Linked DNA regions of Drosophila melanogaster. The protein of the gene in region 2 purifies or fractionates together with the protein of the main gene of each other region. This does not show direct contact. Each region holds a gene or a part of one and is shown on either strand. Other genes may lie near its edges.

What was found.
Region 1: the proteins of Sec15 (region 2) and Ehbp1 purify together in Drosophila melanogaster (affinity purification with western blotting, with the first as the bait; one study listed by BioGRID). This does not show direct contact.

What each region holds. Positions count from the first base shown.
Region 1 is NT_033778.4:17,012,717-17,017,942, forward strand, and holds the start of Ehbp1 (Eps15 homology domain containing protein-binding protein 1), read right to left. Parts: upstream 3,179-5,226; 5' UTR 2,943-3,178; intron 2,487-2,942; 5' UTR 2,337-2,486; coding exon 2,233-2,336; intron 1,281-2,232; coding exon 1,073-1,280; intron 1,012-1,072; coding exon 830-1,011; intron 766-829; coding exon 569-765; intron 59-568; coding exon 1-58. Other genes in the region: Paip1 (Poly(A) binding protein interacting protein 1), read right to left, coding at 4,250-5,083.
Region 2 is NT_033777.3:21,104,244-21,109,766, forward strand, and holds Sec15 (secretory 15), read right to left. Parts: upstream 3,730-5,523; 5' UTR 3,651-3,729; coding exon 3,575-3,650; intron 3,511-3,574; coding exon 2,393-3,510; intron 2,329-2,392; coding exon 1,222-2,328; 3' UTR 803-1,221; downstream 1-802. Other genes in the region: Tbc1d22 (TBC1 domain family member 22), read left to right, coding at 343-566, 639-773; rtet (tetracycline resistance), read left to right, coding at 4,364-4,807, 5,004-5,345, 5,409-5,482. UniProt on the Drosophila melanogaster protein: Component of the exocyst complex involved in the docking of exocytic vesicles with fusion sites on the plasma membrane.

The DNA.
Region 1 (5,226 bases), on a different chromosome or scaffold from region 2:
AAATGCAAGGGATTAAATGACTCGGCCAACGGAGTTGGATCTTCTGATAACGAAGGTACTACATAATGACAAACAAAAAGAAAACGAAAATAAAGGAAATGTACATTTAACAATTTACGCACAAATTACAAGTTGCAGGAAACCATTCAAGATACGTGATGTGATGTAGATGTCATGGGATATAGAAAGGAAATAATTTCGTTTTCCGTCAGATAAAAGTGTCTGTACAAAGTATCTAAAGCTAAGATGCTATAATTAGAATCAATTAATTTGTTGTTTGTTAGATCATGCATCATCAAGTGTACATATATGGTATCCATTAGATGCGTAGTTTGGGAATTCTGATCTAGAGATCAGAAAACATTTACAGGGTATATAACATACTTAACCAAAGTGCCTTACATAACGAAAACAGAGCTTTACAATATTTAAAATCCCTGCTTCTTATGTTTAGCACTCAATATACATAATAGATACGATCTAGTCCATTTTACATACTAACAGATACAAATACTTGAATTTTAGCACATAGAACATAATTTTTAAGTTATAGTACAAGATTTCTTACCACTTTGAGGCGTGGCCACATCAATGCAGCCATTTAGGCTAGTTGTCATATGCTCCAGTTGCTGTGTAAAGTCATTAAAATTGTCCGTAATTTCACTAAAGCCATCAAGATCTGGAATATCCTCCAAGTCATCCAAAGGCGCCACATCATTGTTGTTCACGGACATCATGGAGACAACGCTCTGCATGTCCTCGTCTCTGGAATCGAAACTTAGTAGTGAGGCTCCATTCTAAGTAGATAATTAAAGGGCAGTCGACTTACGTAGCCTTTCCTTCTCGCAAAAATACACAGCTAATCGTGAGCTCCAAACTGGCTGCAGTAATCTTCTTCGAGACTGGCTTTAGGCTCAAGGTAAAGCTCTGCTGAGTGGATTCTATGCTGGCATACTTCCTCATATTAATGCTGGCATTGGCCAGCACACGTTTCTTGCCCATTGGAGTGACCTAATGGAAGGTAACACCAATTACTGGCAACTCTATGCATCCATGACATTATTTAACCCACATCTTCGATGACAAACGTCCAGTCCTTGTCCTCCAGCTCGTGTGTCCGAGGATCCTTAAACAGGGTGACGGATATGGTGTGATTGTCGGGCACTGGCCAGGATATATTGCCCACCAAGGGGTTCATCATGTCCGGCTCCCATGGCAAAGGAGCACTGGCCACTCGTCTAGATCTTCTGGTCCAAACGATAGAGAGGTTCGACGGCCGCCTGAAATTGGCCATCACATGATTGTTAACCATTTCATGCCAAATTGGTTTCTCAAAGTTCTTTCAACTCTGATCATGTATTTTATATACAAGACCATGAATAACAATTTCTGAACACCGGATGCGGCGTCATTATATGCATATGTGGGTTCTTCAGTTGATAAATATATGCGATGATTGGTTTATTAAACAAAAGTCTGTACAAAACATTTCATGTCAACAGGAAAAGTTGGGGTCATTTGCAAATACAAAGATATAGATAGCAAATGGAGTACGACTATATTATAAATTCGTAGTCATGGAATTCAGTAGCCAATAGCCTCATCAATATTATACTATTTTCAATATTTTGCTTAATTTATTTGCATGACTAACTCCTCTCGGCAATTGAATTAAACTATATAATTAGTTGCTCAATGATATTCTCCGAAATATGTACTTATTTAGATAAAGGTAAATTAAAGGTGCAGAGTAATAAAGGTCAAGTAACTAGTCATATCAATATTTTATCGTATTTATGAAACAATCATTGTATATGAAGGGAAAATAAATCTTCAACTATAAGCGTTTGTTTAGCTTGTTCTTTGAAAATGATAAGAAATATTATAACTTCAACAAATGATACTGCAGTAGGGTCTACACATTTTTTGCGCATAAATATATATACGTATATATTCATTAATAAAAATAGACGCGAATGCAAGATAAGGCAAGTAAATATAAACATTAATAAGAAGATATTCTTTTGAAGAAACACAAAAATTACATGGAAACGGAAAAAAATATATTGATTTCAATGATACACAAAAAGGAATCTAAAAACGAGATATCTTTCCGCCAGAAACGTGCTATTAACCCCTCAAGTTGAAAGGCACTTAAGACCGCCACCGACCCGCCCCGCCCACTTTAGCCGACTCCCGGTGAACTAATCCACTTTCATGTGGGGCACTTACCACTTGGCGGTGGTTTCCAGATGCAGATCGTGGTACGATGCGGTGAACTGGAATTTGGCGGCTCGCTTGAAATTGCGCTGCAATCGCTTCCATACGCTGGCCATCTTAGCGGGTGTGGATCGTAGGGCTCTTTAATTTGGATATCTTTGGGGGTGTTGGGGTTTGTATAAAAATTAGACCCGTTTGGATCGTCGTTGCTTTGCTTTTTCAGTAATCTATTGTGTCATTTTTACCAGCTAACTTCTGCAGGCGATCTGGATGCGGAATGAAAAACAATATAGACGCCTGGTTATATGCTATAAATTTCTGGGTCAGTTTACAAGGTTCATTCATAAGGGAACCAAAAAAAAAAGGCAGACCCTCTTAAAATCGAAAGTTAGAGTGTGCAAGGCGGAAAACACTATTGTAAATTTATTTTTGAATTTTGTTGCTTTGTTGTCTGCAAAAACACTCAAAAAACACACGCACACACACGCGCGCACAGTTCTTGTGTTGTGTTGTATTTGTTTTTCTTTTTCGCTGTTTTGTGACCTTTAGTTGTCACTTTGCCTTTGTCTTTCTTGAATTTCTTATAAATACTCGAGATTTACAGCTTATTGCTAGTTTTGTTTTTATCTATTATTGTTCCTGCGGGCGTGTGTTTGTGTGTTTGCGTCTCACTGGCAAATTTTTAAGCGAAATTTGTATACATAGATGATGCCTAGACGTACATACAAATACATAAATAGCACCATTATGACGTCACTTTTGTTTTGGTCTCCAATTTCGTTTCAAGGTCCTTCGATTTGGGGACACTACGCCGAACATTTGCGCGTTTATTACGAGCACTCGCTGCCGTTTAGCTTTTATCACATCACAGCGAATAATTTAATTCACACCGATTTACACTTCGATCCGATTTTTTTTTACTGTCGCGAGCAGATTGAGTAGAGGTGGACAAACTGCAATAGCTCCAGACTATCGATAAGCCAAACATATGCGCTTGTTGTTTTAGGCGGTGAGGTAATATCGATTGTTTTTGTTGAAAAGGTTTGTTAGTTCTTCCAGCTATAAAGCAACTTTAAAGCACTCATGTATTTGTTTTAAAAACATCACAAACAGCAGCAATAGATCAACACAATACCTTTAGTCATAGCATCCGAAAGGTTCGAAACCCCGCTTGCACTTATCATATACTCGACTCTTTCGACATAATTAGAAATAACGAAAATATAACCGCTTTTAGTTCGAAAACCGAACAGGCTTCTTTCCCGTTTCAATAAAATCGCTCAATTTGATTTTGTTTTAAACGCAATTCGATAAATTTTATTTATAATTAAATCATGGATTCGTTAACATTAATTACAATTATTTAAAAATTAGGCGTGGCTGCTGTCGTTTTTTTTTCTTTCGTTTTTCGATTTGTATGATCAAGAGAATGTCGTTTAATTGAATGTGAAATTTGCGATTTTGTTTTTTTCTGCCGTTTATGGGTCTGCATATGTGCCATGCAAGTGTGTGGGTGCGCATATGAGTACGAGTCTTTGAGTGCAGCTGCGTGTGTGTCTGTATCAGCGGTTCACTTCGGCGTGGCAGTGGCTATAGTTATATATATATATATTTCTTTTACCGTTTACGGTCGAAATCCTGGCTTCGCGACTATTCAAATTTATTTAATTCAAGTTAAAAAGTACAAACTGAATGAATGAACTGGCTATCATGGCAGAGAGTTAGTTATCAGAGATACAAAACGGGCGTATCACACAAAAAGCGTTCGAACAAAGTCATTAACACATGTCATATTATGATAGGTGCATGAAACACGAAGATATCACAAACAATTTGCTATCAATAATTTAAAAGATAATCACAATTGGTTCTGAACCAAGCAACTGCAATCATCGATCCTACAACCGAGAATTTGTTGGAAATGCTCCACTCCTACGCTCTCCACCATCCCTCCTATACCCAAGCTATATCCTGCCAACGACCACGCCCTCATGAATCCGTCCAATGCAACACAGTTCTCCACAGTCGTCTAGGTCTTCTGTTTGCCCTGCTTACAGAACTCCTTGTATGCCCGCTCGGTTTCCTCGTCCATTTCCGCGTCGATTTCTAGGTCGGCACCATCCCCATCAAAGTCATCATCACCATCATTATCCCCGCCGGCCAGAAAATCGGTCTCCTCGGCAGTCAATTCGCGGCCATCAGGTCCGTAGAAGACGGGCTCATCGCTCAGGCGCGGCGGCTCCTTCACTGTATCTTCATCGTCTCCCAGAGCGTTCGACACCTTCCTGCCCCAGTTGTTCTGCTGCAGGGCAATTACACTTGCCGCCATGGGGTACTTGCCCGGCGACTTCAGCTCGATCGCCTGCAGGGCGGTGATGATCTCCTGTATGTCCTTGGGGCAATCGGCTGTCAGATCATATCCAGCCAGCTTGAGGGTCTGGCACAGGCAGCGAACATTTTCGTTGCTCTCGCTGGCCAGCAGCTTACTCAGCGAATATACAATATTCACAGCGATCAACTGGATGCGCGAGTCGTCGTCGCCGCGCAACTGCATGTACAGCTCGGCCAGAAAGAGGGCAGTCTCGCGAACCTTCTGCTGCTCGTTGGAGCGCATGTACTTGGTCACTTCCTCCTGGTGGTAGTCAAGCTTGCACTTGAGCAGCGTGTGGAACAGCGAGTCCGGCTTCGAGTTGAGCATGTGCAGCAGGTTGTACAGCTTGGCGCCCATGTACCGGAAGTTCGGCTGCTCGATCGACTTCTCGAAGATGTCCTCCATGGCGATGGAGAGCACGAATTGGTTGTTCTCCATGCCATCGAAAATGGTCAGGAAGCGTGATGCAATCGAATCAAATTGGCCCGGATTCTGGATGGAGATCATTAATATGTCTGGTTAGTAGGAAATTTAGGTTTAAAACTTAAGATTAAGTTTGACTAGACTGAAATGTTTCAGCTGATTTTTTTTTTTACTTTCGAGCATAAATATATTGATTTTAAATATATTGTTAT
Region 2 (5,523 bases):
ATCAAATATAGATAGAGATATGTTAATGCTCTTGTGATAAGATAAATTGGAAGGCAAGCACCATGCCCAATGCCTAAGCAAAGAAAAGCCTCATCAAAGTCAAGCCATTTTGATGTGCCCTGTCAAAGATACCAAGGATGCTTTAAATTTTACATATTTACACACGTTTTTCCAGAAGCCATATGGTGTAAGATAGCTCTTGGTCAATAGGCTATGACACGTATAAACATTTTTAAGATCGCAAATGTTCGGAACAAATAAAAATAATTACTAGATAAGCCAATTGGACATGCAACCTACAATTGCCGAGTGATGATAATAAATTGTAATTTGTGCTTTCAGTGAACTTACATCGTCATCTACAGGCACATGGCGTCGACTACTTGCAATTCTCATTTCGCTGGATGAACAATCTGCTGACACGCGAGCTGCCGCTGCACTGCACCATCCGATTGTGGGACACATATCTCGCAGAGTCTGACGGCTTTGCCCTGTTCCACTTGTACGTGTGCGCGGCATTCCTTCTGCACTGGAAGGAGCAGCTGATGCAACAAAACGATTTCCAGGTGAGTCTCCAGACGAAAAGATCTTCCCTTCCTGCAACGTCTACTAATCATTGCCATCTTGCTATGTGATAGGGCCTCATGTTGCTGCTACAAAATCTGCCAACACACAACTGGTCCGATCGACAAATCAACGTTCTGCTGGCCGAGGCATTCCGCCTGAAGTTCACGTATGCGGATGCGCCCAAGCATTTGGAGACGAAGAGTTGACAAAAGCAACACAAACAACGCATATACGTAACTTAGAAGTTAGTTTATTACGATTTGCGGAATATACCTACACAATACACGTACGCTACATACATCTAATAATTATATACAATTTGTTATTTAGACGTTCCTCTCCGTTTGTTTTCATTCTATGTCGTTTTCGTTTTGTATTTATCAACAATCCGTACGTAGGCAACCGCTAAAGTTCTGCGCTTTTTGTACATAAGAATCAAAAATTCAAAATACAATTTTACACGTTCAACGGGTCGAGCTGTTTCAATTGAAATTTGTCTTTTATAAAAACAAATCGAATCAAATGTAATGAGAACTAAATACTTTTTCCATGTGAAAATTCAAATTAGCCTAAACAATAAAGATGAAAAGCTATAGTTTATGATTACACGAATTCAACAAGGACTTAAAGCGACTAACTACAAGCCTGATATTTCTAATTCTGTCTATCGGCAATGTGCTTAAGCTGCTTGAGCACCGTCTCCAAAAGCTTCTTCTTGTCATTCTTTCGCACCAACGAGAAAATTGGCTTTTTGTCCGCCTCGCGGATCTTTTCCAGTATCACAATAATGGACTGCGGTTGCACCAGATGGTAGCGGTTCTCTTGCTTGCCATAGTCATGGAAATACGTGCTCCATTCCTCTAGAATGAGCAGGTCCAACAGCTGACGGTTACGTAGGAAGTACTTGCTCAGCTCTCCTTCCTTTAGACCAGGCACAGGTTCCGAGGCCGCAAAAAACTCGCACTGCATCAGATCCAAGTTGATTTGTGTGAGTGCTCCCGTGGAAATCTGCTTCACATCCTCGTCATACATGATCGAGTAAATCTTCTCTGCAATGTGCTCGAAGGTGCGTCGGCAGGCCGCCTGGGCGATGTGGGGCAGCTTGAAGGCAAAGCTGTCAAAGGTGCTCTTAAGGTAGGAAATCATGTCCGTAATGAAGGCGGAGGCTATTCCCGGCGGCTCTACTAGTAACCAGTCATAGGCGCTTAGTTCGAAGAACTCATCGATCTTCGAGCAAATACGTAGGCCCACCTGCTTCTCGGCATCTTGCCGGGCCACGTGGAACATGGCCGATGGTGTCTGAGATACGCTCCTCTCCGTGTTGGTCATGTGACACACGAACTCGTCCAGAAACGGCCCTGCCTTCTCCAAGTACTGCGTGTCGATTATGATCTGAATGAGCTGCGTCAGCGTGATGCTCGGCTGGCGGAACACCACAGATAGACAGCCACTGAAACTTCGTGTGAGCAGCAGATTGGCCGCCTTGCGCACCATGGCGGCCACCTCGTTGGGCGATAGGGTGAGCTCCTCGGCGAACTTCATGCAGGCGTACATGAATTCCTTGGCCTGGTGATAAACCTCCGGCACCATTCTCGAAAAGGGGAATTTCTTCGGAAACGGAGCATTTTCAAGCTGTTCCGAGTGGAAGGGGAATCGTTCGATGATGCATTCATACTCTTCCGTGTTTTGTACAACCATGGGCAGGAACTGTTCCTTGTCGAGAATTTCGCGGAACACATGTACCCAGCGTTGCAGTAAAACCTGGAAAGGAAAGCCAAGAGTTTTACAAACAACAGAATGGCTTATAGAATTTCTTAACGTTCACCTCATTATAATGATCCCGCATGTTGTGCAATAGTTCCCAGAGGATGTTCACGGTGTAACCGTAGCACTTAAAGGTGTTGATGGACAGCATAATGAGGTTCTTAATGCGCAGAAGGATATTAGGATCGGTGCAGGACGAAGAACTCATGCTGATTTCGTTGACAAACTTGGTTAACGAGCTGGACCACAGATCCTCCAAATAACTGCTGGTCACGACATCGCCCGCCGTGTTTTTAACGTGATCCTCAACCACGAAGAAGCCAACGATGGCACAGATGTACGTTTTGTAGGCCTCCAAATTGTCGTGCATGTTGGGCGGCGGTTGAAGCACCAGTTTGGCCTGATCCCTGCGCTGCTGACGATAGTCCTTCTCGAAGTACTCCCGCTGACCCAGCACCATGTAGATGTGTAGGCAGCGGTAGATGGGGGAGAAGTCAATGAGATCCTGGGCACTAACGTTGGCACCATCATCATCCCCGCCAGCACCTGCTCCGCCGGCTTCGCCGCCATTCATCTGCTGCATGTGCTCGGCAATGATGGCGTTGATATCACGCTTTTGGAGCTGTTTTGTGTGTGTGATGGCCAGCTCGCCGATGCGGGGTGAAAACTTCCGGATGTTCTCGAGGAACTCTCGAAAGTCCGAGGCGGAAGAGCGACGGATGTTTTCCTTGATTATGGGAATCTGTATCTGCATCTGGGTGGCGAATCGGTAGTTGTGTGTCTTCAAGCGCGTTAGGTGCTCCGTCTCCAGAGTCTCCAGAGTTCTCAGCGCCTGGTAGTACTGCTTGTTCTTTGCCTGCTGTGTGAACTTCATGTAGCACTCCAATGCGGGCAGACAGGATTTGAGTGCCTCGATGGCGCTGGCCAGATTGGATTCGATCTGACGGGCCCGCACTAGATCATTGCCCTGCTGAATCAGCGAGGCGCTGATCTGGCGAAGGGACGTGTCCAAGGAATGCACTTCGTTGTGCAGCTGTTGGGCCTGCGTGCGCACCTGGAGCAGCTCCTGAATTGAATCGATGAAGCCCTGGTAGTACAGATTGCAGATCCGCTCGATCTCTTTGTCATGGCTCCGTATCCGCTGCTCCAGTTGGTCGCCAATCTGCTTAGTGTTGTTGCCTGTCCGGGAAAAAAGGAAAATGGGCGTAAACAAAGTGTGCCAATTGCTTCTATTCGCAGTCACCTTCAAGGATCGAACGGAATGTTGGTCCCCAGTAGTCGTCCACCGCCTCAATGTCTTGCACGGTCACTTTGGACATCTTATAACGCTCTTTTTTCTCTTCTAAACAACTTTTTACCAAACTTTAATGAGCAATTATTTCGCCGACTTATCGGTATGGTATATCGAATATTTACTAAGTGTTATCGAGGTTTGACTTTCGATACTAGGCGATAACAATTTTAAGCGGTATGTTTTAAATTATAATACAAAGTTGTGTCAGAGAATATCTGACTGCATTATCTTTTAAAAAGATATTATCACTAGGATTGTAATAAAATAAATAAATCAAATAGGCGAAAACTACCGAATCATAAACTTAATTTATATATGTATATCAAAATCCGGTTCTTAACTATTTAAGCAGGAAACAATGATTTGTAAAATATTTATAAATTAATTAAATATTTACAACTTAAACCTATGCTATTAGTAATGTTCACCAACATAATATTCGTTGGTAATTTTGATAAGAAAAGTAATTAATTACAGATGTTTGAATAACTCATTTTGGCGCCCTTATTTCAAATATCCGCAGCAAGCAACAGGTTGGAATGCCGTCTGCTCGTTATAGGCCGCCTTGGAACAGCTGTTGCTGTTCAGCTTTCACTTTGGCTTCGCTTTGGCTGGCCGCTTCTCGAGAGGGCCAAGAGTTGTCGGTGGAGTTGTGGTTCCGTTGATACAGTTATGTTGCAGTAACACCCGTACACGCACGCAATCACGGCACAAGCTAAACACCCGAAATCAGCAAAGATGGCCGACCTACGGAGTCGCCACAATGGAACCGCTGCCATGGAGAAGCAAAGCCACAGCCAAACCGGAAGCCACCATCACAACAACAATAAAGCGCTGGATAAGGAAGCATCGGAGAATGGAAAGCCGGAGAAGAGTGATCCCATGATATACATAATCTTCGTATCGCTGCTCTTCGACTTACTGGCCTTCACCATCATTCTGCCGCTGCTGCCCTCGCTGTTGGAGCACTATCGCCAGAACGACAGCTCCGGCTTGTATGCCGTGCTCACGGATCGGGTGCGCTGGTTCCAGCAGCTCCTGGGCGCCCCGGATCGCTACATATCGGTGCTATTCGGAGGCTTTCTCGGCTCCATGTTCAGCTTCCTGCAGTTCGTGGCCAGTCCGATTGTCGGAGGACTCTCGGACTACTACGGACGGAAACCAGTCCTGCTGGCTTGTGCGGTAGGTAATCCCAGTGCTCAATGCTTTAATGTGCACTAAACACTAAACTAGTCTTGTTAGTTTTCTTTTTGGCTTGGTCAACATTTCATGCTATTACGAGTTCAATCCAAAAGCGTGGAATTCGTCAAATTCAAACTCCTTAGCTAAGCCACAAATAAGTAAACCTTCCTTAAGCTACGTCTTCTTTCATCTATAGAGTGGTATTGCGTTATCCTATCTGATCTGGGCCTGCTCCAGCAACTTTGCCCTGTTCGTTTTGGCCCGCTTCGTGGGCGGAATTAGCAAGGGCAACATATCCCTGTGCATGTCCGTCATTACGGATGTGTCCAGCGTTAAGACCCGTGGACGCGGTATGGCCCTTGTGGGTGTGGCCTTCTCGCTGGGCTTTATTGTGGGGCCCATGATTGGAGCCCTGTTCGCCATATTCTCCGATAAAAGTGGAAGTACTTGGTTTGTGTTGCCCTCTCTGCTGGCGTTTGGCCTGGCAGTTGGAGATCTTGTGGTCCTGGCCTGCTGTCTGCGGGAAACGTTGCCCAAGGTGCGTACGGTTGGCTAAATTAAATATATTCCCAACACCATTAATTGTTTGACCTTTTCGCAGGAGAAACGTGTTAAGGAGATATCATCTGCACTGTCTTATGGCCTGCAGTTGCTCAATTTTTCGGCCATATTTAGGTAATTCAATGTTTTAATTAGCATGTCTCGAAAACCTGTCG